7 linked regions of the Xenopus tropicalis genome follow. The protein of the gene in region 2 interacts with the protein of the main gene of each other region in a pairwise test. Links are inferred from orthologs where the notes say so. Each region holds a gene or a part of one and is shown on either strand. Other genes may lie near its edges. The genes, in order: ppic, banp, mrrf, fam117b, map2k1, l3mbtl3 and pogz.

Region 1 (4,321 bases), on a different chromosome or scaffold from region 2:
TGATCAGTGCAAAATTATGAAAAGTAAAGTTACATTTCACATTCTAGTTCATCAGGATTCAAACAAATCAGCAAACCACTGAGAAGCCTTCTGTATTAAGAAACCCTTTCCCTGGCCATACAAGAGAGGGTGCAAAATAAAAAGATGTTTTTAATATAGTCAGCCAAAAGGCTGAAGTTAACAGATGTCTAACATAATAGCCAGAACACAACTTCCTCCTCTGTATCTGTCTAACCTAGTCAGCAAATTTTCTGGGCCCCCCAGGTCTGCTATCGCCAACCCCGCCCCTGGGCCGGCAACCCCCAAACTCCACTTCTCTCCCCACAGAACCAAAGGTCAAACAGACAGGAAAAGTAAATAAAACCCTTTTGGCCAAGGGGTTATTAAAGGGGTGGTTGTCCTTCAGGTTTACTTTTAGTATGTTTTAGAATGACCTATTTTTAGAAACTTTTCAATTGGTCTTCATTTTTTTATAGTTTTGATTTATTTGCCTTCATCTTCTGACTCTTTCCAGCTTTCAAATGGGGGTCACTGACCCCGGCAGCCTGTGTTGCTCTGTGAAGCTACAATTTCATTGTTACTTTTTATTACTTATTTTTCTATTTATGCTCCCTTCTATTAATATTCCCGTGTCTCTTTCAAACCACTAGCTGGTTGCTAGGTTAAATTGAACTCTAGCAACCAGGTAGCTGCTGAAATTCCAAACTGGAGAGCTCCTGAACAAAAAGCTAAATAATTAAAAAACTGCAAATAATACAAAATGAAGACCAATTGCAAATTGTCTCAGAATAGCTACATCAGGGGTCCCCAACTTTTTTAACCTGTGAATATAAAAAAGGTTGGGTAGCAACACAAGCATGAAAAAAGTCTGTATTTTGTTATTTTGTAGCCCCTATGTGGATTGGCAGACTGTACCCACAGGTGACAAGTCTCTGGAAAACACCTTCCCATTCTCTTAATTTGCTGGCCAGGGGCCCCTAAAGATAAAAAAAAACAAAACACTGCTGGCCATAGTGATGGGTCACACAGCTGAGCGGCAGTGTAAAGCCAGAGAGAGGGTGCCTGTGCTTCCCCCAAGCTAGCCATATTAGAACGAGAAGCAAACATACTGAGTATGCAATTATCATTTGTCACAAATACCCATAATACTTTCCGACCCTTTCTTGACTTAAACCAAATGCCCACAGTTATAGCAGCCTTTGGTACTAGATTTCATGCGGATGCACATTTTTTTAATTGATTTTTGACGGTGTAGGTGCCTAGAATTCTCGGCTTTAATCCTGCAACAGCGACTCTCACACTGCAGAAATATACTCTTCCGCTGCTCGGAGAAGGGTTTTTGGAGAGGCGTCCGTCCCCTCCTATCCCAGCCCCTCCTATCCAAGCCCAGCCTTCCCAAACTTGTCGCATTTCTCCCGCAGCTAAGGAATAAAGCGCAGCGTTAGGGGGCGGGGACAGCCAGGGCTAGGGGCTGACTCTGTGGGTGGAGCCGAGCTTTGCTGACGTTGCTGGCTTATCCCATACCGCTATAGTGGCGGTGCTGCCAGCTAGGCTGGAGATGTGTAGGTACCGTAGCTTGCTGCTCTTGGGGCTTGTCTTGTTCTTATTTTCCACAGCTCATGGCTACAGGAAGAGGGGACCTGTCGTGACTGCCAAGGTAACACGTTACTTCCGAACACTCCAACTCTTGAGCAAAGCCAGAAACGGGCTGCCCCACCGCCCCATCAGCCCAGTGGGTCAGTAATAGTAGCAGCTAGCCCGCCGCCCCATTATCAGCCCAGTGGGTCAGTAATAGTAGCAGCTAGCCCCCCGCCCCATTATCAGCCCAGTGGGTCAGTAATAGTAGCATATAGCTCGCCGCCCCATTATCAGCCCAGTGGGTCAGTAATAGTAGCATATAGCTCGCCGCCCCATTATCAGCCCAGTGGGTCAGTAATAGTAGCATATAGCCCGCCGCCCCATTATCAGCCCAGTGGGTCAGTAATAGTAGCATATAGCCCGCCGCCCCATTATCAGCCCAGTGGGTCAGTAATAGTAGCATATAGCCCGCCGCCCCATTATCAGCCCAGTGGGTCAGTAATAGTAGCAGCTAGCCCCCCGCCCCATTATCAGCCCAGTGGGTGAGTAATAGTAGCAGCTAGCCCACCGCCCCATTATCAGCCCAGTGGGTCAGTAATAGTAGCAGCTAGCCCCCCGCCCCATTATCAACCCAGTGGATCAGTAATGGTAGCAGCTAGCCCCCCGCCCCATTATCAACCCAGTGGATCAGTAATGGTAGCAGCTAGCCCCCCGCCCCATTATCAGCCCAGTGGGTCAGTAATAGTAGCAGCTAGCCCCCCGCCCCATTATCAGCCCAGTGGGTCAGTAATAGTAGCAGCTAGCCCCCCGCCCCATTATCAGCCCAGTGGGTGAGTAATAGTAGCAGCTAGCCCACCGCCCCATTATCAGCCCAGTGGGTCAGTAATAGTAGCAGCTAGCCCCCCGCCCCATTATCAACCCAGTGGATCAGTAATGGTAGCAGCTAGCCCCCCGCCCCATTATCAACCCAGTGGATCAGTAATGGTAGCAGCTAGCCCCCCGCCCCATTATCAGCCCAGTGGGTCAGTAATAGTAGCATATAGCCCGCCGCCCCATTATCAGCCCAGTGGGTCAGTAATAGTAGCAGCTAGCCCCCCGCCCCATTATCAGCCCAGTGGGTCAGTAATAGTAGCAGCTAGCCCCCCGCCCCATTATCAGCCCAGTGGGTCAGTAATAGTAGCATATAGCCCGCCGCCCCATTATCAGCCCAGTGGGTCAGTAATAGTAGCAGCTAGCCCCCCGCCCCATTATCAGCCCAGTGGGTGAGTAATAGTAGCAGCTAGCCCGCCGCCCCATTATCAGCCCAGTGGGTCAGTAATAGTAGCATATAGCCCGCCGCCCCATTATCAGCCCAGTGGGTCAGTAATAGTAGCATATAGCCCCCCGCCCCTTTATCAGCCCAGTGGGTCAGTAATAGTAGCAGCTAGCCCCCCGCCCCATTATCAGCCCAGTGGGTCAGTAAAAGTAGCAGCTAGCCCCCTGCCCCATTATCAGCCCAGTGGGTCAGTAATAGTAGCATATAGCCCGCCGCCCCATTATCAGCCCAGTGGGTCAGTAATAGTAGCAGCTAGCCCCCCGCCCCATTATCAGCCCAGTGGGTCAGTAATAGTAGCATATAGCCCGCCGCCCCATTATCAGCCCAGTGGGTCAGTAATAGTAGCAGCTAGCCCCCGCCCCATTATCAGCCCAGTGGGTCAGTAATAGTAGCAGCTAGCCCCCCGCCCCATTATCAGCCCAGTGGGCCAGTAATAGTAGCAGCTAGCCCCCCGCCCCATCAGCCCAGTGGGTCAGTAATAGTAGCAGCTAGCCCCCCGCCCCATTATCAGTCCAGTGGGTCAGTAATTGTAGCAGCTAGCCCCCCGCTCCATTAACAGCCCAGTGGGTCAGTAATAGTAGCAGCTAGCCCGCCGCCCCATTATCAGCCCAGTGGGTCAGTAATTGTAGCAGCTAGCCCCCCGCTCCATTATCAGCCCAGTGGGTCAGTAATAGTAGCAGCTAGCCCGCGCCCCATTATCAGCCCAGTGGGTCAGTAATAGTAGCAGCTAGCCCCCCGCCCCATTATCAGCCCAGTGGGTCAGTAATAGTAGCATATAGCCCGCCGCCCCATTATCAGCCCAGTGGGTCAGTAATAGTAGCAGCTAGCCCCCCGCCCCATTATCAGCCCAGTGGGTGAGTAATAGTAGCAGCTAGCCCGCCGCCCCATTATCAGCCCAGTGGGTCAGTAATAGTAGCATATAGCCCGCCGCCCCATTATCAGCCCAGTGGGTCAGTAATGGTAGCAGCTAGCCCCCCGCCCCCCCCGCCCCTTTATCAGCCCAGTGGGTCAGTAATAGTAGCAGCTAGCCCCCCGCCCCATTATCAGCCCAGTGGGTCAGTAAAAGTAGCAGCTAGCCCCCTGCCCCATTATCAGCCCAGTGGGTCAGTAATAGTAGCATATAGCCCGCCGCCCCATTATCAGCCCAGTGGGTCAGTAATAGTAGCAGCTAGCCCCCCGCCCCATTATCAGCCCAGTGGGGTCAGTAATAGTAGCATATAGCCCGCCGCCCCATTATCAGCCCAGTGGGTCAGTAATAGTAGCAGCTAGCCCCCCGCCCCATTATCAGCCCAGTGGGTCAGTAATAGTAGCAGCTAGCCCCCCGCCCCATTATCAGCCCAGTGGGCCAGTAATAGTAGCAGCTAGCCCCCCGCCCCATCAGCCCAGTGGGTCAGTAATAGTAGCAGCTAGCCCCCCGCCCCATTATCA
Region 2 (3,641 bases):
CAGACCTCTATTTTTGCATATATAGTTTCTATGCAAAAATACATGCATACATTATATGAAAAGCAGGAGGAAACCAAAACTTACGTTAGTAAAGTTCATGAATCACTTTACTTACATCTTATTCCGTAGATCATTAATGGATCCAGTTGCTTTTTCCCATGTTTCCCCTGGCCTGACAAGTTGGAGATAGCCTGGATTTCTCGATGGAAAAGATAATCAAGTAAAGTAAGCGCCATCTTTTCAGCTGTTCGACAGTTGGTACTGATGTGCAGCATGTCAGCTGCTGTTATAGGACTTCTTACTCTCATCTCTGGATTATGTTCATCCCCCAACCATGTACCATTAGGATAATCCTCTAAAAAGCAAAAGAAGTACATATTACCATTAAAAGCTTTAGCATGCATACAAAACATAGGCTTCCCATTTAACAATACATAGAAGAGGGTTGGAAAGAAGGTGGTAGGACTTAAATCATAAACAACATGGATTGGAGATTGGAACAAAATATACATATTTGATGCAAACCATTGTTTTAGAAGTGATAGTGAAAATCTGTTGCATCACTATATCTGATTCCATGCCTCTCACAAAAATTAACCTGTTACAACAGATATATATGATTATTTGAGTTGTTATTTAAGTTGAAACAGAAACAGATATAAGGATTGTGCTTCCCAAGAAAGATTCTTGTCATTTGATTTGAACCATGGCACAATATATGTCTATGAACATACTCAGTATATGCCTTTATAGTACTGTAAGATCAGACAGCACATTAAATGGACAGAAAAGTAATTAAATATAACATAACATTGCACTCACCAGTTCTAATAAATTTATTTAGAATATTCTTACAAAGCTTTGGTCACATTTGATGACTTTCTCAAAGAAACTCATGTGGGGGCAGATTTACTAAAAATAACTTTTTTTTTTTTAATTCGAATAAACTTGTTTCTACGAATGTCTTACATATACTAAAAAGTCTGAACTGGAAAAGTCACAGAAAAGTTGGGAAAAATCACACATTTTTCAACTTGTCACATAAAAACTGTGTATTTTTAGAAATCTTGCACAAATAATGGCGCCAAATATCCAAAACCTCTAAAGTTTGTATTGAATTTTTAGCTATTTTGACAAATAAAAATCTCAGAAAAGTGGCAACTTTTAGGGCTCTGGCACATGGGGAGATTAGTCGCCCGCAACAAATCTCCCTGTTCGCGGGCGACTAATCTCCCTGAAATGCCATTCCACCAGTGAAAATGTAAATCGCAGACGCCGCTGTGATGGCATTTCGGGGAGATTACTACAGTGTGTAGCTGCCTCTTGAATACCAGAAAGAAAGCAAATTATGTTCACCGTTCACCATGAAAAACCACTAGTAAAAGCATCACACCACATAACAAATCTAAGAAAAAAAATACAGTAACCTATAATTTGAGCTACATTAAACTCTGCTCTACTAGCTATCTATTCATCTATCGAAAATACATCTTCATATTGAAAATCATCAGGATGTATTTTTTTCTTTTAAATTACATTTTTGTATAAGAAGGCTGCTTCTTAAGAATAATTAAGAATAATTATATTTTTTAAATAGCTGTTTCATCCCAGAAGGCAGATTCCATGACATCATAAAACAAAGATTATACTTGCTCAAAAAAACATGCTGGAAAGAAAAATAAAGCCTCTCAAGTCTTGAAAATGTGCATGCTCAGCTTTCATTCAATTGGTCACAAATGATTTTGAATGAATTTATCACACAGTTCTGCATGACACTGTTAAAACATGCTCCTTTTTTGCCCCATTAATTAAGAAAGCCCCATTTCCTCAAAAATCCCATTCTGCTTTATATACTAATTTTTCGACTGCTCACTGTGTACTAAGTATTTGTTAGGGTTGCCACCTGTCCCTTTCAAAAACCAGGTTCTCCAGGTCAAAACCCCCTACCTGCTTTTCTAAATTAGGAAATCTGGACAGGCCTCCCCTTAATTCATGTGGCAATCGACCAATCGCTGGTTGTTATGTCATAGCCCGGCCAACTGCTGTCACATGCCTTACACCAACATCTCATTCCACAACTGTACCCGGAGTTCCTGCTGCCAGAAGGTGGCAACTCTAATAGTTATTAAAGGCATACCCCATTTTTTAATACAGTATACCATAAATAATGATCCCTTATCAGATAAGGTATGGGAAGTTGATTTTAGTGTGCAAGTTTAGTTGTTGTCAATCATTATTCAAAACAGAGAAAGTAAAATGAAACACCTGCCCAAAAAAATATTCAAGGAATCTAAGTATTTTATTATTAAAGCCTGGCTGTTTATTTTTATTACAAATCTGGGTGATATTCGGTCTCAGGGAATTATATGAAAACTTCTGGTAGCTGTGTTACCAAGACACAGAGTTGCATTAATATTATAAAAACAACCCGTTCCTAGCTTACATAAATAAACCTGGTCTCTGGAGCAATTAAATAATATCTTTGGCTGATTTGTCAGTGAATCAAGCATTTACTTAATAAAAAAGGCTTCTTTTAGTTTTGCAAACCTATTTTACAGTTACAAAAGTTCAGAAAGGCCAAACTTTCTCTGTGAGAATCCAGACTTAATGAACTTGAGAACTTAAAGCAGTATATTATTAATATCTAAACAGGCTCTGTGTCAACGCTGCTGTTGGTCACTAAAAGTATAGAATTCTCAGTATTAGAGGAGTTCCTAGGCTGAAAGAATAAACTCTTGCTGGCATTGAGTTTTGGATCTGCATCCTGTGCCCTTGTTCCAAAGGTTCTGCATTTGATTCAACGACATCCCTTCTAATGCATTCATTTTTGTTCTTAAACTCAGACTAAAACTAAACAAAATAGCAAATGTTTTAGTAAAATATAGTTTATTAATGAATATTCCCTTTATGGGCTTGCTTAATGGCACTACATTTTCAGTTATTATGTGACTTTTGCATACTTCCTAAAAGACTGTTTATTGTTTTTTTTCATATAAAGTTTTATATAAAGCACCAGTGCCCAAAACCCTATTTGTAACACTTATGGGGATATGGGACAATCCATAATCTGTTGAGTTTGTGATGCTGAAGAATAGGTGTCTACAAAAACATGTAAAAATGATTTATAGGAAAGCTAAAGCTTAACAAAGGACTAGAAATGCTGCACTTTATTTTTTGAGATTCTGTAGAAGCCCAAGGCTACTACAGCTTGTTTGCAGTAAAGATCTGTAAATTTGAAGATGCCCCAAGTAGATTCCTATCATTTTTTTTCTGCTGATCCATAACACATGCTCTCTGCTGCTGCCAGTTACCTAAACTTAAAGACGCACGAAATACTGCATATTGACAATATAAAAGTCACAATGCGAAGCTGATTAGTAATTAATTCAGGTCCATTATATGACAGCTCAGAAACCAGTGCATTCTGAATCACAGTTTAATAATTAGCCCGGTAGCATCAGCATCTATGACGTCATTTTTGGCTTGATGATTTGAAATGACCCCTAGCTTTAGCTTCTCACCAGCTGCCCAGACCACGGAGCATTTGAGTGTCACTAACACTCAAACACTAACAAAATCAGACAGTAACTATCTGTGAACAAACTTTAAAGGTCCAAATCAATACTGTTAGAGTACATAAA
Region 3 (4,312 bases), on a different chromosome or scaffold from region 2:
CCTAGAGATGTCTAACCCAGACATGCCTAACCCAGTGAGGCCAAAAAGGTTCGGCCATTGAGGTCAAGCTGTCACAAGACAGGAAAGCAAACGATATGGTACTGGTAATGGGGAGATTTTAAAGTTGTATGTTCTTTTCTTGGCCTCTGTATCTGTTAGTACAGACCTTCTGGGAAACGTTAAATTCATGGGGGTTATTTCTCAAAATGTTTTTTTTTTTTCTTTCTACAAATTAAAAAAATTGCCATACATTTTTAGGCAGGACAGCTGTGTTTTCTAAGCACACTGTCACACACAAAAAACTCAAATCATGAAAAGAAAAGAATACCAACGTTGATAAATAACCCCCTATATGTTGCTATCGTGTGAATGCTAAAAACTGCACTCCACAGCATACATACTTGAATTAATGGTACTTGAGGAGGGAAATAGATGCATTAAATTCTTATTTTGCTATGATCCTGTTGAAGTATGTATCTCACAAACTGATTATTTAAAGAAGGCCTTCTGTGAAAATGAACAATAACATCTTTAATTCCGGATACATTTTTTATTTTTTTCTAATATCTGTACTGGTAATAAATTAAATTAAAGTTTCAATGCAAGGTGTGTGAGCCATCATAAACTGTAAATATTTACTATATTCTAACCTGAAAAATGGTCTGTTTACAGGTACATGATGAACAGTTTTGTCACTGCACAGTTCTAGAATAATTCATATATGTGGGAAATGACTCACTAACCTGGGGAAGTTCGAATACTTAAGTTTTTAGTAAAATCCTCTTTAAGATTCTCCAGTATGCTTTTCATTTCTTGTTTCACGTCTTCCAGGTTAATAATGTCTTCAACAAGGGCAGCATTTAGATTTACTCTTGCTTGAACTTGTCCTTTACTTTTGGCTACATTTAAACACAGTAATGGGACTAGTTATTTCTCTGTATAGCATAAGGTTCCCATTTAACAAAAATGCTAAATATTTATCCCTTCAGTTGCTGAGGACAACAACATACCTTTACTTTTCTTAGTAGCAAGGTGCCTACTTATAAAGGCTATAGAATGTTCTTGCGATTTTACTGCTAAAGCACTTCTCTGCGGTCCCAATGATGTTGCTGTTCGGAAATGGAGTGCCACAGGCTGCAGTCTACACAAGCACCTTAGAGCCATGCCTTGTTCTGGAAATAAATGCATAAAATTGTCATAAAGAAACATGAAAGTGTGGAAAAAACTGAATTAATAAGATGATTGTGGGTCTTGGCCAGCTGGCTATTGTTGTATAAATATTTTGAACTTGCAGTCCCAGCATTGATTGATTAATATAAAAGCAAATGCAGAGTGGCAATTGTTTACTTTATATGTTTTATGTTGCACAATATGATGCCAGCTTGCATTACACAGAGTATATGTTTTTCATGCACCTGCATTTGCTCTCACTGCATTCCAACAAAGTTGCACACTATCAGTCTCTATCCACCATGGACTATATTGCAGTTTGCCATAAAAAAATTAAAATGTACTTCTTAAAAATACATTTGTGTTTCTCCTTCTCAGATGTCCTAGTAGCACTTCAGAAGTTTCTAATGCAACTGACATTCTTGTGCAGTCGAAGTAAGCCATGTACATTGGCCTTAAGTGGTTCTTAGCCATCTAAGATATGATTGCTCAAAAGTGCTGTATTGTGCCACAGCTTCTAACCACGTTCCTTGCTCCACTTTGTCTGAATTTCATCAGAGAGTGTGTTTCAATAGAGCAGATATGTTGGGGTTTGAGTGTTAATTACCAATAGCAGGTGAAGGGCCTTTTACTGGGCAAGGAAGGATTTAATTTGGGGTAACCGCTGAAAAATACTTGTTGACATAAACCCTTAGGTTCTGCAATGATCTGCCCATCAGAAGTGGGGGCAGAAATCGAATCCATTTTTAAAATGGCCATTTAAAAGAGATGTCCACCTTTTGCAAAGTGGGTACTGCTTACAGTACACATAAAGACGCAGAGATTGGCAGCAGTTAGAAATTATCACAAAGATAAGGCTTAAAGGAACAGTTCAGTGTAGCCAGAACACTACTTCCTCCTTAGCAGCTCTCTAACCTGTAACCAATCAATGACTTGAGGACATAACTATTTGCTTTTCCATCTGACCTGTGTGCTCAGGATCAAAAACAAACTAAGTGAACAGGTATGTCCCATGTGGCCACCCTCAAGTCACTAACCAAGAGATTAGAGAGCTGACAGGAGGAAGTTCTGGCTATTATGTTAGACACCCACCCATTTCAGCCTTTATAGATTACATGTTTGGCTAACTATATTAGAAATATTTTTTATTTTGCACAGCCTATCTATTTACCCAGTTTCGTTTTTACACTGAACTGTTCATGTGCTGGTTGTCATTATTCACTTATCCTAATGGTTGACAATATAATTAGCACTATGCAAATATAATGCACTAGCCTCACTAATGACTTCTACCTGCTGCCAATTTCTGCATTTATAGGAGTCCAAAAGGGAGTCAGTGACCCAACACAATAATACAGCTTTACCAATACATTTTTGGTAGTGTATTGTCAACGATAACATTGCTTTTTATTTAGAAAGCCCTACCACATGTGGAAATCATTTCTGTGAGCCCCAAACAATTCTTTCATTTGCAAGTTGTATTACAACTCCATGATGATATTACCACACAACTAATACATCATCATGAGTTGTATAAACCTCAGGCTTCAGAAAAGACACAATAATATACCAATAATACCCAACCAAATAAGCGTTTTAATAGATGATATAATTCCCGTCCCACCTTCGCCTTTGGTATGCTTGTCTGCCTTCCTTACGTCATGAAAATGCGCCGCCCCTGAGTGCGGTCCCGTTGCAGTGACGTAAGCAAGTGGAAAGATTTGCTTTGGAAGCTGAACCTTTGCGGCGATATCTGGGAGAGAGGAGGCTAGCGAGAGCTGTATGACATTGTAGAGCTCTATTCGTTTTGTAGCAGGTATTTATTTTTTTCTTAAACTGTGTTTTCGTTCGTGTGGTGAATGTTGGGTATTGGGGAAATGACACCCTGTTTGTTCCCAGCTGAAATTCCGTCTGTCGTGTATGGCCTATAACTGCAATCTTTTGCAGCCTTATCTTCCCTTACTACCAGTGTAATGCCGTTGGGTAAAGTGTAAATATGTAGCTTTGCAATAAGAACAAAAGCCTCAGGTTTTCTTTTTAGGTTTAGGACCTGTTAAACAGAATGCTCAGGACCAAGGGTATTCTGGATAAGGGGTCTTTCTGTAGTTGGGATCTCCATACCTTAAGTCTACTAAAAAATGAATAAAACATTAATTAAACCCAATAGAATAGTTTTGCCTCCAATAAGGAATAATTATATCTTAGTGTCCCCATACACCTTAAGAAGCAAGCGGATCTTCTCCCGATATCCCCCACCTACGGGTGGGCGATATATGGGAGAATCCAGGCTAATTCGATTGTTTGGCCCTGGGGCCAAACGATTGAATTATAACGACGGGTATAGGCAAAGTTTGTCCGGGGACCGCATCAACGAGCCGATGTGATCCCCGATCCGACTAGATTTTTTAACCTGCCGATCGATATCTGGCCAATTTCAGGCCAGAGATTGGTCGGGCAGTCTCGTTGGTAGCGGTCTAAGGGATCAAGTACAAGGTACTGTTTTATTATTACAGAGATAAAGAAAATCAGTTTTAAAATTATTTGATTAACATGGAGTCTATGGGAGATGGCCTTTCCATAATTGTGAGCTTTCTGGATAACTGGTTTCCGGATAAGGGATCCCATACCTGTACTAGTTAGTGAATGAGTTATCTCATTACTTCTCTCATAGGAATAGGATTACTCTGAGGTACTGACTCTAAACATGGCAGCAACAGGACGGGAAGCTTTGTGCATTGTAGTAGACTCAAACATGGCAGCTATACAGGGTCAGAAAATGGCCACCTATGGGTGGGCGATATTGGGAGAATCCAGGCTAATTCGTTTGGCCCTGGGGCCAAACGATCGAATTATAACGACGGGTATAGGCAAAGTTGAGTCGATGCGGTCCCCGATCCGACTAGATTTTTTAACCTGTCGATCGATATCTGCCCGATTTCAGGCCAGAGATTGGTCAGGCAGTCCCTTGGTAGTGCCATACACGGGCCGATTAGCTGCCGAATCAGTCTAACGGATCAAGTACAAGGTACTGTTTTATTATTACAGAGATAAAGAAAATCAGTTTTAAAATTATTTGATTAACATGGAGTCTATGGGAGATGGCCTTTCCATAATTGGGAGCTTTCTGGATAACGCGTTTCCG
Region 4 (3,641 bases), on a different chromosome or scaffold from region 2:
CAACTTCTCCTTTGAGGCTACTGCAGCACAATGTCACTTGCAGTGCCACTTAAAAATTTTGTTGCAATCATTTTGCTTCAATACACTGGTGGTTTAAAATGGAGTAACATTTGAACAGACATTCTCTAGAAATAGCAGATAGATTATATATATATATATATCTCAAACTTAACAGTAGAAAGCACTCACAGCTACAGCATCAATCAGGTCAGTGATTTATTTCAGCATACCATCTATGGTATGCTGAAATAAATCACTGACCTGATTGATACTGTAGCTGTGAGTGCTTTCATATATATATATATATATATATATCCCCTTTTAGAGACTATCGGCCAATATACCTTTGTCTCGAGGATCTGCAATATTGTCATCAGCTGGGCAAGGGCTTTCCTCGTTGCACTCATTAGAGATTGTAATGAAAGAGGCTGGTGACACGGATTGTGAGCGGCTGCTATTGTTGCTTCCGCGGTCAACCCCTCCAGGTGTCTGAGTATCTATACTGCGCAGAGCTAGAGGTGGGGGAGCACGATGTCCATCTGGGATATCTTGGGGCTATTAAAAAAAATAAAAACAAACCAAAAACTTCAAAACACCTTTTTACATGCAGTTTAGTTAACATGCATGCTTGTGACTAATGGTTCTCCTGCAAAATTCTGAAATGAGCAAGATGCATGGTGAAAAAATGTTGCTCATGTTCCAGAACCCTTACTGAAAATGAACATGCTACATTTAACTGGGCAGCATCAGTCTCTGCTCTAATGAAAGCAACAATGCACAAATATACTATTTTAAGAAACTGTTTAAAATATATTTAATACAGAAAAATGGTTGAGTACTTATAGTTACCTTATTATACTGCTGCCAGAAGCAGGCCGCTAAGCCAGAAGGGGTTAATGCTTTATGTTTCAGACACAGCAAAGCACGTACTGCATTCTACACACTTACACAGACATAACTAAATGTGTATTACAAAATTACCCACTTCTTTGTGGAGACCTTTTTTTTTTTTTTTAAATACAAATTTCAAAAGATAATGCACTCCACAGCAAAGATTTTACATAATTTTGGACTGGACAACAGTACTTTCATAAATAATACACGGCTAAAAATAATAATAATCTGCTAAGACTTGTGCATATTCGAAAAGGATACACTATAAACTGATAAAACTAAGCATGTTCATTTTCATGTAAAAAACTTAAAATGAAATAAAAACTTAGAACAAAGTTAGAACAGACAAAGAAAAAACAAGAAAACAACCTACAAACACAACACAATGTTTGAAACAGTAAAGAAGTTAGTCCTATTCTGAGAAGAGAGAGGAAAAAAAATAAAATTAAAAACAGGTCACAGCCTTAGAGGCAGGAAGTGTTTGATGGGCAGTATAACATTTTCAATACCATACAGCACTTTGTGCTCCAAGCTAATAACTTACCTTTGGGAGCAGGTGCAGAAAACCCATTGAAGTGTTCCCATTGACATCAGGAAGGCCTGAACAGTCTCCATGCTGGGAAACCACAAGGATATATGCTTCAAGATGAATAGTGGCGTATCCCACCCTCTTAAGTAAGCCCATAACATGGAGGGTGAACATTTAAAATAATATATGCTTCTTGATTCCATGTAAAGCGGAGAATGTGAATGTGAAACAGAGATGCCTTCCCCATGGTAAGTCAAACTAATCTGGGTATGGGCAGAGTTTGCAGGAAATTTTCACTTACCAAGAGTTGCTCTTCCTTCTCTCCATTTTCTTTTGTAATTATCTCAATCTCTTGGTTCAGCCCCTCTACACTGTTGCGAAATCGAGACCCAGAGGATTTTGTAATGGGAATAGTCACTGGAGTAAGTACATTTTTGGACATCGAACTCTGTAATAAAAGAGTGTTATCAAAATGATACTGAAGGAACTTCACAGCAGGCTGATTGTGGAAGGGTTGGATAGTAAAGGAACAAATACATCTGCATGGACAATACCCTACTGGAAATATAATTTGTGACGGTTTGTCAAACTTTCATGTTGCGGCATATACTAGTTTATAGGAAAGCATACTGTGGCATTTTTTCAGTATGGGCTATAAAATAATGAAGGGAATTGTCTACGCTGTAAGTTTTCTCAGTTAGGGCCTCCCTTGTCTCATCATGCTACCAAAGATTCCCCTTATCTAACAAGCCTTTAGAACCCTTCTTTTATGGGACAAACACAACAGGAGGTGACAAGGAGCATGTGTCTGTCTATCAATGAGGCTGCAGCAAATTATTCAAAGTTTAAACTGCAGGCTGAGCCAGTAAGGGCTCTGGCACACGGGGAGGTTAGTCGCCCGCGACAAAACTCCCTGTTCGCGGGCGACTAATCTCCCCGGATTGCCATCCCACCGGCGAAAATGTAAATCGCCGGTGGGATGGCATACGTGGCGGCGTGATTTAACTGAAACAGAGCCCTTACACATTCATGGAAAGGCTTAGGGGGCATAAAGTGAATCAAAAACAAACGTTCAGCTCTTAGGCGAATGCCACGCGAAGAAGCTTATGGCGCATATTTTCAGCAAGTCGAAAAACAATTGCCGAAAATGCGCTCCATACACTCCTACCTGTGCCTGCACCTGAATGAACTAAATATGCTTGGGTGCAGACACTTTTAACCGATAACTGGATAAAAACGTAAGAAAATCCAAAGGCTACAGGTGCTGTACCCAAGTATATTCAATATTCAAGTTTGGCATTGCACAAGAAGTTATGTCGATATATAAACATCCGCCATCTTGCATGTGTACCATAAAGACCATCACTACCACTATGTATACTGGGAGACAGTTTGGGCATCTCTCATTGTTTTGTTTATTTGGTTTTGTTAAAATTTACAGCAGCAAAATGTGACACCCATGTAAAACTGGCACTGGTTTTGACTGGTAGTGAAACCTTGTGGAAGGCTGCTCCCAAATAAAATGGTACCTGTGGAAAAGGTATGCAATAAAGTAATAAGCATTTTAACATAGTGAATCACCCTATTAAATCTTCTTTAAAAAGTGACACAAAGGGATTAACGCAAAAGAATCACCTAAGAATTCTGAAATTTGAAGCAGCACAAGCAGGATGTCCCCCCCCCCATTTGTACTATTACTACATCGTAAATATGTACAGCTCTGCATATACAATAGCACTATATAAAGATACATATTTATACATAAAATTTTAGCTGCCTCCAACCCCAGCAACTAAATAGTTTTTTTTGTTGTCTTTTCAGGGATGCACCAAATCCTGGCTTCGGTTCGGGATTCGGCCAAATCCAAGCTTTTTTTTTTTTGTAAGGATTTGGTTTCAGCCGTATCTGCAGTCCCGGCCGAACCAAATCCGAATAAGCATAAGCTAATTAGAATTCGGAAAGGGTTAAATGGGCAGTAAAAACCCCTTGCCATCCTAATCAGCATATGCTAATTAGGATTTGGCCGAATCCTTCTGGGTGGGTTCGGCCAAACCCAAAAAGTGGGTTCAGTGCATCCCTAGTCTAAAATTATATTCCGACTGTATATAATGTAGATAGCCAGATATAAAACATATGCATGGAATGCTACTCTGGGCATTTTGTCATTACACTGGAGGAGATTAAGTGAGGGCAACAAAATGTCTCATCTGCCACAGGC
Region 5 (3,641 bases), on a different chromosome or scaffold from region 2:
AAAATTTTGTTTTTTTTACAACTGCTTAGCTTTTTGTTAAGCAACTTTTCAGTAGGGTCGCCACCTTTTTTTGGAAACACCAGGCTTCCTATATTTTTAACTTTTTTCCCCTTTTAATAACATTGGCATAAAGCATCATTTTTACTGCCCAGGCTGGTAAAATAGTGGCCATGTGGCAACCTTACTCTCCAGTTTGGATCCTAGAAGCCAGATAGCTGTTGAAAGTCCAATGTACCTTGGTAACCAGGCAGTGGTTTGAATTAGAGACCAAAGAACAAATAGGAAAGGGCCTTGATAGAAAAAGAAGTCATAAAAAGTAACTCGGAACAACAGTTTTTTCCCCCATTTGAAAGGTGAAAGAGAAAGGTAAACAATTTAAAAACTATAAAGGAAACAAAGGAAAAGAATGCAAAAAGGCTGCTAATAGGACATTCTATTCTTCTGAAAATTAACTTGAGATTGAATTACCCATATCAACTTCCTTTTACTACTTCCACAATTGTTCTGAAGACCTAAGAAAGTTAGCAAACGGAAGTACTTTATTTGTTCTGCACTAACTGCTGCAAGGTGCACAGAACAGGGCTATTAACAAATTCCTTGCTTTTGAGTCTGCATTACTTCATGGGTACCAAGATGACTTACCTGGTTATAGGAGTTCCTCCCTAACTTATACATCTATATCCACCCCTACACACATACAAACCTTTGTAACTGACCAAGTGTATATGCACTTTGCTTTGTAGCATTACATAATATATACACCATCTGTAATGTAGTAATTAGGGCAGACTCCTTCCAGAATACAAAGAACAAGCATCACCACCCCCAACAGCCAGAATGTGACGAGCTGTAATTACAAACACACACACACACACACACACACACACACGGAGCATTGCACAGTGTGGGAGGGCATTCTCCATCTGCTGCCTGACACACAGTGTGAACACACGTGACTCTGTGCAGAGTGCAGTCGATGCATAAACACATAACATGGCAATAGGAGATCAGCTCCAATGACTGTAACATGTTTCAAATGTATATTTACCTGAAAAATTCACACATTATTGCAAATTCACCATGGAAGGGGTAGGACCATGTTTATTAATATACATTGAGAAAAATGTGGTGTGTTATGGTTTGGGACCCTTGGGGTGTTCAGATCCTAAGAGCAGTAAGATGTATATCAAAGTGAATCTGCCTCAAATAATAGAAACAGCTTTACAAAACCCTTACATGACTACAATTAAATTAATGTACATTTCGTATTTGGGAACCCCTGTGCAACATTGTATTTTCACAAGCACTTAAGAATAGCTGTCACTGAACATATGCTCTGGGGTGAAGAGGAACTGGAGGACACTTACTGACATATAGGATCTTGTCCCAACAAAGGAATTTGCCATGGAGTCTATTAGCTGCCCGCTGACTCCAAAGTCGCAGAGTTTTATCTCTCCCCTAGAGTTGACTAGGATGTTAGAAGGTTTCACATCTGCAAAACAAACAAAAAAAAAAAAATGACTTTTAAAAGGGACATATACCTAACCCAATAACGGAATGTAAAATTGGTAAAAGTGTGTGGGGGCTGGGTAGAATGGCAAAGCTTATTTTATTGAAGCAGGAAGCCTCTCTTGATGCTTTCCTGTTCAGTTCTATTGCTTAGTGACAGGATCAATAGAACACATCCTGATTCAGAAAATAAAGCTAATGTTGTTTAGCAAGGTTGTTACTAAAGAAAATAATAACATTGCAAAGGGGCTCATAAAAGCACTTTGAGCTATTAAACATTAAGATTTACGTAGGGTATATGCCTTTATGCTACTGGAAGCACATTATTTCTCCTCAAACACCTAATCCTAGTTAATAGGAGACATCTCTCTATATAAAGCCATTGTGGTTGGCATGGCACCATTAGTGCTACAGTGAGTTTTTTTTATTGTTACGCTATAACAGCGGTTTTCAATACAGAATGATCTTTCCGGTCCTAAGCTGAACATTTTAAAAGGCGTTATACATCAATGAGTCAATGAGGGCCCTTCCATATAGAAACTTACCTCTGTGCATTATCTTATGCTTCTCTCTCAGGTAGGTTAGACCTTTTATCACCTGCAGTTAGAAATGGATATCAGAATTTGACAGGAGCAAGTGTAACACATGACATTAAAACTTGTAGTATAAATTACAGCTTTTACTTTCCAGGATGCCCTCTATATGAATGAGCATATAATTGGAAGGATTTGATTTTGTTGGATAGTTTTCTTATATATATAAATCACAAATTTGCATTTGCTAAATACTCACTGCAATGCTGACTTTTCCCAAAATTTTCTCAGGGATTTTGCCAGCTTTCTTCAAAACCTGATCAAGGGAGCCTCCATCCTGCAGGGGCAAAAAATAGAAGATCAAGCAAAGAAAATACAAGTTTACACACAGGCCGATTAGTTGCCGCAACTTTTAATTAAGCCAGTAAGACTTTTCAAAGCAGCGACTAATCGCCCTGTGTGTCTTCGCCCTAAAGGTGTACACCTTGTATAGATACAGTCCTGAGTGTATCTGATGCCTCAGCTAATGACTAGAGCACAGTTTAAATCTCCTTATCATTAGCTCATTATCCCAAAGGCTCTGAGCTCTGGCCTTTCAAGTCCCTCCCTAATTCTCACCATGTGTTCCATACAAATGCTGATCTCTCCGTCACTGTAGAAGGCCCCATAGAACCCCACAATGTATGGGGAGTTACATTCATGCAGAACCTGCAACTCTCGGATAATCTGATTTCTGATTGCAGGCTTTATCTCCAGATGAATTAACTGCCAGAAAATAATAGAATATGTCAATCATTGTATTCTTATGCACAAATTAATAACAAATTCACGTTTTCCTTCTGTCTTTATTTCTACTTAAACTCCATTCAAAAATCTCACCTTCCTGGCCATAATCAAGCTAGTCGGCTTGTGGGACACCTTAAACACCACTCCTCCATTGCCTGCTCCAAGCTCCGACACTTTCTCAAAGTCATCATCCTTCAGCTCCCCAACTTTCTGCTTCTGGGTGAGAAAGGCCTCTAGACGCTTCCTCTGCTGCTCATCCAGCTCCAGCTCTTCCAACTTTTTCTGCAGAGCTTCAAGGTTTGTCCTACAAAGAGAAAAGGAAAATAAGAAATCTCAAAGGAGTTTTATGATTCTATAAAAGCAGTGATCCCCAACCAGCTGCTCGGGGACAACATGTTGCTCACCAACCCCTTGGATGTTGCTCTCAGTGTCCCCAAACCAGGTAGTTATGTTTGAATTCCTGACTTGGGGGCAAGTTTTGGCTGAATAAAAACAAGATTTAGCACCAAATAAAGCCCCCTGTAAGCCGATAGTGTGCATTGAGGCTACCTAATGGCCAATCTCTGCCCTTATTTGGCACCTCCATGAACTTTTATGGTGCTTGTGTTGCTTCCCAAGCCTTTTTACATTTGACTGTGGCTAACGAGTAAGAAAAGTTGGGGACCCCTGATAAAAAGGATCAGGGTTGCAGGACATGTGGTTTCACTTTATGGGGTCTGAGCTGACCTGTAATATCAGCTCAGACGTTCTTTTAATACACAGTTGTGTTGGGCACAAGTGGCATTGATGGAGAGATAGATAGGATTTATTCAC
Region 6 (4,272 bases), on a different chromosome or scaffold from region 2:
GAGAGGTACCTGCCTGGCACACCCATTGTTGCACCCTAGGCAGGTGCTTCTTCTGCTTACCCCTAGTTCCGGCGCTTCCCTGGTTTCCTTTGTAACTTCTCGGACTATAAGACACCTTCCAGATGGAGTTATTTTTGATGGTCAACCACTTCTGGGTAGGGTAACAACAGTCTTAAATTTCCTCCATTTGTATACCATCTGTCTGACTGTTGATTGGTGGAGTCCAAACTCTTTTGAGATCATGTAATCTTTTCCAGCTTTATGGGCATCAACAACTCTTTTTTTTGAGGTCCTTAGACACCTTGTTGAGCTATGATACACATCCACAAATGTGTTGTATGTGTGATCAGGCTTTGCTGGTACCCCCTTTTTATTTTATATAAAACAGGGTCTCTAACTCACACCTGATTGTCATCCCATTGACTGAAAACACCAGACTGAATTCACCTTCAAATGATATGATAATCCTAAAGATACACTTATTGTTGCTACATGCAGATATGTTATTGGATCATTTTTTTTTCAATAAATACATGACCAAATATAATAATTTTTGTTTCATTTGTTACACTAGGTTTTCTTATTACTTTTAGGACTTGTTTGAAGATCAGATGATGTTTTAGATCAAATTCACAAACTTCCAAGCATCACTGTACGTATGTATGTGTGTGTGTGTGTGTGTGTGTGAGTATGGTGTATATGCTGTGGAAATGTGCTGCCAGGAATACCAGGAATTAAATATTGAAAAAAATAATAAATATACCAAGGAAAACATTTAAACAAGATTTTCAGATTATAAACTCATTTGGACAATGCTTTACCTCTTGCATTAGTTATTGGTTGTTTCTGTATGTAAATTTGTATGTTTAATCCATACATACTTATTATTAGTTTATAGGGCTACATATTGGTGCTTTATAAATATGTGTTAATATTAATAATTAGTCACTCACAGCACATTATAACAAGCATTTAAAATCTTTTGGTCATATATAGGAATCATTGACAAAACCTTAATTGTATCCAGTTAAAATTAATTACATATATAACATATTACATACTAATATTTTATATATATATATCTATATATATATATATATATATATATCATGAAATAATCCATGGCCGGCACACCCTTAAAATTCAAAAAAAAACCAGGTTTTTAAACAATGAGTTTTCAATAAAAAAATTTTTTTGAATTTTAAGGGTGTGCCGGCCATGGATTATTTCATGCTAAATACTCAGATTTTGGCTGTGCACCCCACAGAATACTAAAGCCTTGGAGTGCAGACACCATCAGGACTGATATATATCCCCTTTCTGACATAGGGTCAGTTGGGTTTATGTAAAAAAACAAGGATAAACACTTAACAGTATTCCTCAGATTGAGAATAATACATAATCATCTGCTTCTCTGCTTCTAATTAACAGGGATTATTTTTCACTATCCATACAACCGCTCCTTGATCTTTTGTCATGTGATATTATCCAGAGACGTGAAGTTCCTCTCAGAGGAACTCCTCAGAGAATTTATGCACCTCCCACCATGGAAGCACAGGGACTTCAAGCCCCAGAATGTATCACCTTTATATGGAAAAAGATAAGGGAGGGGTTATATGAATCTGCCAGCCTTAGGGGGATGGGGAAATGGTCCCTGTGAGCCACAGGCACACTACTGTGTATTTCCTGGATTATTAAAAAAAAAAAAAAAGAAAATTATATATGGGCAGTTCAGATAAGTAATTTCAGTTTGTGAATTTCATATATTAATATGAATTACACAGCCTTGTACAGTGACTTCTACTGTATATTGAGAGTTGGTCCCTAAGAGCCAGTAACTGACAGCTGTACAGATTGCATGGTGCAAAACAGCTGAAAAAAATGGGGAGCTACAAGGGCATCTTTGGGGGGCACAGATCTTCACTAACAAGGTGCTGTAGTGGCTAGTATGCAATCCCAACACCTGATGTCCAGCTAGGCTACTGTGTTAAGCTTCCTAAATTAGTGAAAAGTATGTTAACATCTCAAAATGAAATATATTTGTTTTGATGCATTCAGCATGCATTCCCATAGTTGGATATTTAAAGAGGTGTGCGGTGGCAAACCCTTCCATTCCAGTCAAGACACAAGTAAAGCAGAGATATACTCCTAATATAAGACTACAGCATTTATGGCTTATTTTAGGAATGTGTAAAAGTGTAGTTAATGTTACTACCTAAAACTAATAGTAAAGTTGCTGCAAGTTTGCATGGAAGGTTTTCTCTGAAAGCATTTTTAAAATCTAGTTATATAGTTTATATAGACTGCTAATTTTCTATGCTAGTATTGCAGGGAACAATAATTCTTATTATGTGCACCCCTTTCTCAATATATAATACTCCATACTCCTCAGCCAGTTTTCTGGCAATCCTGGAGCAGTTTATTGTGTTAAACTGATCAACCTGGAGATGATTAAAGTCCTGAAACATTCTGTAATAGGAGGGAGGGGGGATTGCTGCGGTAAGTCAGGACAGTGTGCAGCAGGTTAGGAGTGCTGGGGTGCAGCTTGCCTGCCGGATACTGATCCGTCACTGTACTGCTAGCTCTCTAATAAGCATCACACACAGTTTCCTGCAATATCACGGCTCTCTATTCCTCTGGCTGCAGCTATTCCCTCATTTCCCCGTTTGCAAAGCAACACTACCCCACACACGGCAAAACTCCCCTCTCACTATGCAGACCATCACTTCTCACCACTCTTCTCTCTCCCGGAGCCACCTCTTCCACCATAAGATGGCGTCAGGGGGCAGATCCTAAATTCACACCGCCTCTCTTTGTTGCTACGGTAACACAGCACATTCCCACCCACTGCCCCCCGCCAATCAAGCAGGGTAATTTAAGGGGCAAAGAGTGGGGCAATTAGGAGTTCTGTTTTATTAGTTGCAGTCTGAATGATTATAAATTTGGTATGATAAGGATAATATAGTAGCCCTATGTGGTAACTCCAAAGTTCTGAGCATTATTGAGAAATTGAGTTTTCAAGAGAAATGTAACCACATTTATTATGGAGACTGGCATTAACTAAAAAGCTCGCCTACAGGGGGCGCAAAAGTAAAATAAATAGCTGCCACCGAATTGCGTTCGATTAAGAGGAGTGGTTTATCCGTGACTGCCCGGCTATGGTGGCTAATGCGTGGCATTCCAGTGCTTTGTACAGCTACATAATAAAGCATAGCATTGAAGAACAAAAAAAACATGAGTCTAGGTTGATAAAATATGTATACTAGGGGAAAACAGTATTTCTGAAAATAATCACCCAGCAAATTAACTTTGTGGTTAATTTAAAGGACATGTCAAAACCAAAAATAATGTTTTGCCTAATAAAAGAAAACATAACTATAAGCAACTTTCCAATATGCATTTATTAAACATTTTAGAGCTTTAAAAGTAATTTGTAATTGCTATAGAAAGCAGCATTTGCTGAACCCCTGGTTATGACTTTTTAAACAATGTAGGTCAGGCTCCTCCAGCAAGGCAGGTCTGTCAGTCTGCTGCCTTGTGTTACATTGTTTCAAACCCCAGAGCCACCAGGGCAGAGAGTAGAAAGGACAGGCAGACACTGCTTTAAAGTAACAGTAACACCAAAAAATGAAAGTGTTTTAAAGTAATTGAAACATAACGTACTGTTGCCCTGCACTGGTAAAACTGGGGTGTTTGCTTCAGGAACACTACTATAGTTTATATAAATAAGCTGATGTGTAGCCATGAGGGCAGCCATTCAAGCTGGAAAAAAGGAGAAAAGGCACAGGTTACATAGCAGATAACAGATAAGACACCATTGTATTCTACAGGGTTTATCTGTTAGCTGCTATATAACCTGTGCCTTTTCTTCTTTTGAATGGCTGCCCCCATGGCTACACACCAGTGTTTATATAAACTCTAGTTATGTTTCTGAAGCAAGCACAAAACTTTTACCAGTGCAGGGCAGCAGTACATTATAGTTTAGTTTTTTTTAAATTTATAATTTTTTTGGTGTTACTGTTCCTTTAAACAGCAGCTATACAGTCATGGTCAAAATTGTTGGCACCCCAGAAAGTATTTCTCACAGAAAAGTATTGCAGTAACAGATGTTTTGCTATACATATGTTTATTCCCTTTGTGTGTATTGGAACAGAACAAAAAAGGGAGGAAAAAAAGCAAATTGGACATAATGTCACACAAAACTCCAAAAATGGGCTGGACAAAATTATTGGCACCCTTTCAAAATTGTGGATAAATAAGATTGTTTCAAAC
Region 7 (4,427 bases), on a different chromosome or scaffold from region 2:
CTGTTAAATCTGTAAAACACAGAGCGCCAAATGAAGCAGGGCGTGGCTTCCCTATGCAGACTCCGCCCATTATAACCAGCAAATGGGGGGGGGGGGGGGGGTGAGAGTTTAGTGTATCTGCCATGCTGAAATAAAGACCCACGTGGAACCCCATGAAAATTCTGAGGAGACCTAAATGCAAAAGAGTCAGGGTGTTCTTGTTGCCACAAAGTCAGTTCCGGGGTATGGACTGGGGTATTAGAGGCAGTAGGCATTCTGCAACCATGCTTGGGGGCTACATATACCCCTGTACTGCTTCATACTCATACTTTGGGGTTTATAAATCCTTCATGGTTCCATTTCAGGGGCTGCTGGGAAATGGAACAACTAATGTACCAACTGTAACAGTTGCTATGGGTCAGACGTTAGTAACGCTCAGGGAGCATACTCAGTAGGGGCTGAAGGGGCTGCTGGGAAATGGACCAACTAATGGACCAACTGTAACAGTTGCTATGGGACAGGCATTAGTAACGCTCAGTGAGCATGCTCAGTAGGGGCTGAAGGGGTTGCTGGGAAATGGACCCACTAATGGACCAACTGTAACAGTTGCTATGGGACAGGCATTAGTAACGCTCAGTGAGCATGCTCAGTAGGGGCTGCAGGGAAATGGACCAACTAATGGACCAACTGTAACAGTTGCTATGGGACAGATGTTAGTAACGCTCAGGGAGCATGCTCAGTAGAGGCTGAAGGGGCTGCTGGGAAATGGACCAACTAATGGACCAACTGTAACAGTTGCTATGGGACAGGCATTAGTTATGCTCAGTGAGCACGCTCAGTAGGGGCTGAAGGGGCTTCTGGGAAATGGACCCACTAATGGACCAACTGTAACAGTTGCTATGGGACAGGCATTAGTAACGCTCAGTGAGCATGCTGAGTAGGGGCTGCAGGTAAATGGACCAACTAATGTACCAACTGTAACAGTTGCTATGGGACAGACGTTAGTAACGCTCAGGGAGCATGCTCAGTAGGGGCTGAAGGGGCTGCTGGGAAATTGACCAACTAATGTACCAACTGTAATAGTCCAACCAATAGTCCAACCTCCTACATACAGCGACAGAGCCGAGAGTCCAACAGTACCTTCTATTTGATCCCTGGACACGGAGAATTCAGCTGCAAGTTCTGCCTTTAATCCTAAAAACATCAAAAATAAATAGAAATCATTATTTCGCAATTATGGTTCATTTACAATAACCCAACAGAACTCGGCTCCCCGGTGCTCTGGGCCCAGCGCCCGGTACACATTGTGCAACTTCCAACGAAATTCCGTTTGGGGCTCAATTTGGTATGATCCGAGGGCAGAACAAGAACTTTGTGCCCAAAGGTAACCATGGTAACGACCCAGAGTTCCTATATCCCACAGGAGAGAATATATGGACACAAACGGAATGGACCTGCTGGTTTCCCTTTGGGCTAAACATTAATCTGTAACAATGGCCCCTTTATTGGAGCTCCCTATAGATCCTCTCAGGTCCCTGTCTGGGTTTCATATGAGGGGTGGGCGTGTCCCAACGGTCCCTGCCAGAAGCACAGTAGGAGTGGGAGAACCAATCACAAGCACAGACAGCCTTCGGGTCCCTATCAGGTCAGCCTAGCTGCTGATTGGTTCCTGTGCTAAGGTGAAGTGGGCGGGCCTGGGAAAGGAACCAGCAGGAAGTGGGACAGATGGGCGGGACTAGTGGAGTTTTATAAAGATATTTTCAATAAATACACCCAAAACACTACTTTTTAAAGCCCATTCCTTCTATAGGGAGATAAGTACAATTCATATGTTTTTTTCACGCAATATTTCCCCTTTAAACCCTAACAGGTTCCAATTTCATTGGCTAAAGCCGGAGATCACGGATTGGGCAACTGGATTCGCATAAATGCGGTTCTACGGCCACAGAGTGAAACCCGCGGGGCTGGGAATCCCTTCGGCCTGAGGAAGGGGGCAAATAAAGGCCCAAACGTTGGGCGCGCACATCTCTATGATATATATATATGGGCCAGTTGGCCAGTACATGACAGGGATAGCTGTGTGCATTCAGGCAGCCATATATATATATATATATATATATATATATATATATACACACAGAGTCAAACCCGCGGGGCTGGGAATCCTTGCGGCCTGAGGAAGGGGGCAAATAAAGGCCCAAACGTTGGGCGCGCACATCTCTATGATATATATATATATGGGCCAGTTGGCCAGTACATGACAGGGATAGCTGTGTGCATTCAGGCAGCCATATATATATATATACATACACAGCAATATAATAATAATATAGTTGTGCCTGAGGGGCCCCTTGGTGCTGCCATTGTCCCACCCCTCACTTGTGTGAGCCCCCCATTCCCCTTGGTGCTGTCCCACCCATGGGTGCTGATGCTTACACCCCACTACAGACTCACAGCAGGGAGCCCTCACCCCTACACCATGCTCCTCCTCACAAAATAATCCCCATGAAGCAACATGGAGGTGGAAGGTTACATTGTGGCCTGGACTCCCGCACCCCGACACTGCAGGGCCCCAGGGCCTACCCGTACATCCTTCCCGCCCACTCGGCCTCTTACCTCCTCCTACTGCCGCGCAGCCCCGTTCGCTCCCAGGCTCGGTCCCGCCCCGGGGTTCCCTCCCCCCGGTCACACCCGCCGGACACTAACCGCCAGCTGCGTACAAAGAGGGGAGAGCGGCGCGGAGGGACACGGGCCACACGGCGCGGATGGATACCGTGACTTCATTTCCTCCGCGTCTCCTGATTGGCTGCTTGCCTGAGGCGGTCCGTGACGTCACGGCTGCAAGGCCCTACCCTTGATGGAATAGACAGGGGCAGCAACAGTGTGAAATAACAATGGCTCAATGTGTTTTAATATGGCTGTCACTGCAACAATATGGCTGCTTCTGTCTTTAATCAATGGCCTCCTGCTTCCCTGTTAGTAGCAATATGGCTGCCTGTGTCAGTAATGAAAATATGAAATGGCCCAATGGCCCTATTTAAAATGGCTTCCACTTTAATATTGTGGCTGCTTGTGGTACTAATGACTGTGTGTAATAACAAAGGCCTTCTACTTCCCTATGTGTAGCAATATGGCTCCCCTGTCATTAATAACTAAAAATAACAATGGTCCAATTTAATATGGCTGTCAGTGTCATAATATGGCTGCTTGTGTCAATAATAGTGTTTAATAACAGTGTCTTCCTGTGTGTAGCAATATGGCTGCCTGTGTCACTAGTAACTGTGTGTAGTAACTGTGTGTAATAACAGTGTACTATGTGTGTCAGTGTGTCATTAGAAAGTCTGTCATAACAATCTTTCTGTGTGTAGCAATATGGCTGCCAGTGTCACTAATAACTATGTAGAATAATAATTGTCCAATGGCTGTTTAATATGGCTGTCAGTGTAACAATATGGCTGCTTCTGTCTTTAATTACTGTCATATCAATGGCCTCCTGCTTCCCTGTTAGTAGCAATATGGCTGCCTGTGTCATTAATGAAAATATGAAATGGCCCAATGGCTATTTAATATGGCTTCCACTTTAATAATGAGGCTGCTTGTGGTACTAATGACTGTGTGTAATAACAATGGCCTTCTACTTCCCTATGTGTAGCAATATGGCTCCCCTGTCATTAATAACTGTAAAAATAACAATGGTCCAATTTAATATGGCTGTCAGTGTCATAATATGGCTACTTGTGTCAATAATAGTGTTTAATAACAGTGTCTTCCTGTGTGTAGCAATATGGCTGCCTGTGTCACTAGTAACTGTGTGTAATAACAGTGTAATATGTGTGTCAGTGTGTCATTAGAAAGTCTTTCATAACAATCTTTCTGTGTGTAGCAATATTGCTGCCAGTGTCACTAATAACTATGTAGAATAATAATTGTCCAATGGCTATTTAATATGGCTGTCAGTGTAACAATATGGCTGCTTCTGTCTTTAATTACTGTCATATCAATGGCCTCCTGCTTCCCTGTTAGTAGCAATATGGCTGCCTGTGTCATTAATGAAAATATGAAATGGCCCAATGGCCCTATTTAAAGGAACAGTAACACCAAAAAATGAAAGTGTATAAAAGTAACTAAAATATAATCTGCTGCTGCTCTGCACTGGTAAAAGTTGTGTGTTTACTTCAGAAAGTCTACTATAATTTATATAAATAAGCTGCTGTGTAGTATGGGGGCAGCCATTCAAAGGAGAAAAGGCACAGGCACATAGCAGATAACAGATAAAACACTATTGTATTCTACAGAACTTGTGTGTTATCTGCTATGTAACCTGTGCCTTTTCTCCTTTTTTCCAGCTTGAATGGCTGCCCCCGGGGCTACACAGCAGCTTATTATATAAATTATAGTAGTGTTACTGTAGCAAACACACTAGTTTAACCAGTGCAGGGCAACAGTGC

Evidence for each region.
Region 1: the proteins of banp (region 2) and ppic interact in binary tests that used the Homo sapiens proteins (3 or more experiments, as listed by UniProt). The two-hybrid records come from large-scale screens. The link is inferred for Xenopus tropicalis from reciprocal best matches to the Homo sapiens genes BANP and PPIC.
Region 3: the proteins of banp (region 2) and mrrf interact in binary tests that used the Homo sapiens proteins (3 or more experiments, as listed by UniProt). The two-hybrid records come from large-scale screens. The link is inferred for Xenopus tropicalis from reciprocal best matches to the Homo sapiens genes BANP and MRRF.
Region 4: the proteins of banp (region 2) and fam117b interact in binary tests that used the Homo sapiens proteins (3 or more experiments, as listed by UniProt). The two-hybrid records come from large-scale screens. The link is inferred for Xenopus tropicalis from reciprocal best matches to the Homo sapiens genes BANP and FAM117B.
Region 5: the proteins of banp (region 2) and map2k1 interact in binary tests that used the Homo sapiens proteins (3 or more experiments, as listed by UniProt). The two-hybrid records come from large-scale screens. The link is inferred for Xenopus tropicalis from reciprocal best matches to the Homo sapiens genes BANP and MAP2K1.
Region 6: the proteins of banp (region 2) and l3mbtl3 interact in binary tests that used the Homo sapiens proteins (3 or more experiments, as listed by UniProt). The two-hybrid records come from large-scale screens. The link is inferred for Xenopus tropicalis from reciprocal best matches to the Homo sapiens genes BANP and L3MBTL3.
Region 7: the proteins of banp (region 2) and pogz interact in binary tests that used the Homo sapiens proteins (3 or more experiments, as listed by UniProt). The two-hybrid records come from large-scale screens. The link is inferred for Xenopus tropicalis from reciprocal best matches to the Homo sapiens genes BANP and POGZ.

What each region holds. Positions count from the first base shown.
Region 1 is NC_030677.2:169,409,305-169,413,625, forward strand, and holds the start of ppic (peptidyl-prolyl cis-trans isomerase C), read left to right. Parts: upstream 1-1,450; 5' UTR 1,451-1,558; coding exon 1,559-1,657; intron 1,658-4,321. UniProt on the Homo sapiens protein: PPIase that catalyzes the cis-trans isomerization of proline imidic peptide bonds in oligopeptides and may therefore assist protein folding.
Region 2 is NC_030680.2:65,883,054-65,886,694, reverse strand, and holds part of banp (protein BANP), read right to left. Parts: intron 356-3,641; coding exon 116-355; intron 1-115. UniProt on the Homo sapiens protein: Controls V(D)J recombination during T-cell development by repressing T-cell receptor (TCR) beta enhancer function. Binds to scaffold/matrix attachment region beta (S/MARbeta), an ATC-rich DNA sequence located upstream of the TCR beta enhancer.
Region 3 is NC_030684.2:36,483,984-36,488,295, forward strand, and holds the start of mrrf (ribosome-recycling factor, mitochondrial), read right to left. Parts: upstream 2,825-4,312; 5' UTR 2,795-2,824; intron 1,437-2,794; exon of another isoform or gene 1,416-1,436; intron 1,173-1,415; 5' UTR 1,165-1,172; coding exon 1,011-1,164; intron 900-1,010; coding exon 744-899; intron 1-743. UniProt on the Homo sapiens protein: Responsible for the disassembly of ribosomes from messenger RNA at the termination of mitochondrial protein biosynthesis. Acts in collaboration with GFM2. Promotes mitochondrial ribosome recycling by dissolution of intersubunit contacts.
Region 4 is NC_030685.2:52,491,384-52,495,024, reverse strand, and holds part of fam117b (protein FAM117B), read right to left. Parts: intron 1,872-3,641; coding exon 1,725-1,871; intron 1,511-1,724; coding exon 1,439-1,510; intron 556-1,438; coding exon 345-555; intron 1-344.
Region 5 is NC_030679.2:117,157,073-117,160,713, reverse strand, and holds part of map2k1 (dual specificity mitogen-activated protein kinase kinase 1), read right to left. Parts: intron 3,133-3,641; coding exon 2,922-3,132; intron 2,808-2,921; coding exon 2,661-2,807; intron 2,380-2,660; coding exon 2,302-2,379; intron 2,107-2,301; coding exon 2,055-2,106; intron 1,493-2,054; coding exon 1,368-1,492; intron 1-1,367. UniProt on the Homo sapiens protein: Dual specificity protein kinase which acts as an essential component of the MAP kinase signal transduction pathway.
Region 6 is NC_030678.2:83,384,285-83,388,556, reverse strand, and holds the start of l3mbtl3 (lethal(3)malignant brain tumor-like protein 3), read right to left. Parts: upstream 2,807-4,272; 5' UTR 2,770-2,806; coding exon 2,705-2,769; intron 1-2,704. UniProt on the Homo sapiens protein: Is a negative regulator of Notch target genes expression, required for RBPJ-mediated transcriptional repression. It recruits KDM1A to Notch-responsive elements and promotes KDM1A-mediated H3K4me demethylation.
Region 7 is NC_030684.2:144,795,180-144,799,606, reverse strand, and holds the start of pogz (pogo transposable element with ZNF domain), read right to left. Parts: upstream 2,804-4,427; 5' UTR 2,596-2,803; intron 2,472-2,595; exon of another isoform or gene 2,450-2,471; intron 1,174-2,449; 5' UTR 1,120-1,173; intron 1-1,119. UniProt on the Homo sapiens protein: Plays a role in mitotic cell cycle progression and is involved in kinetochore assembly and mitotic sister chromatid cohesion.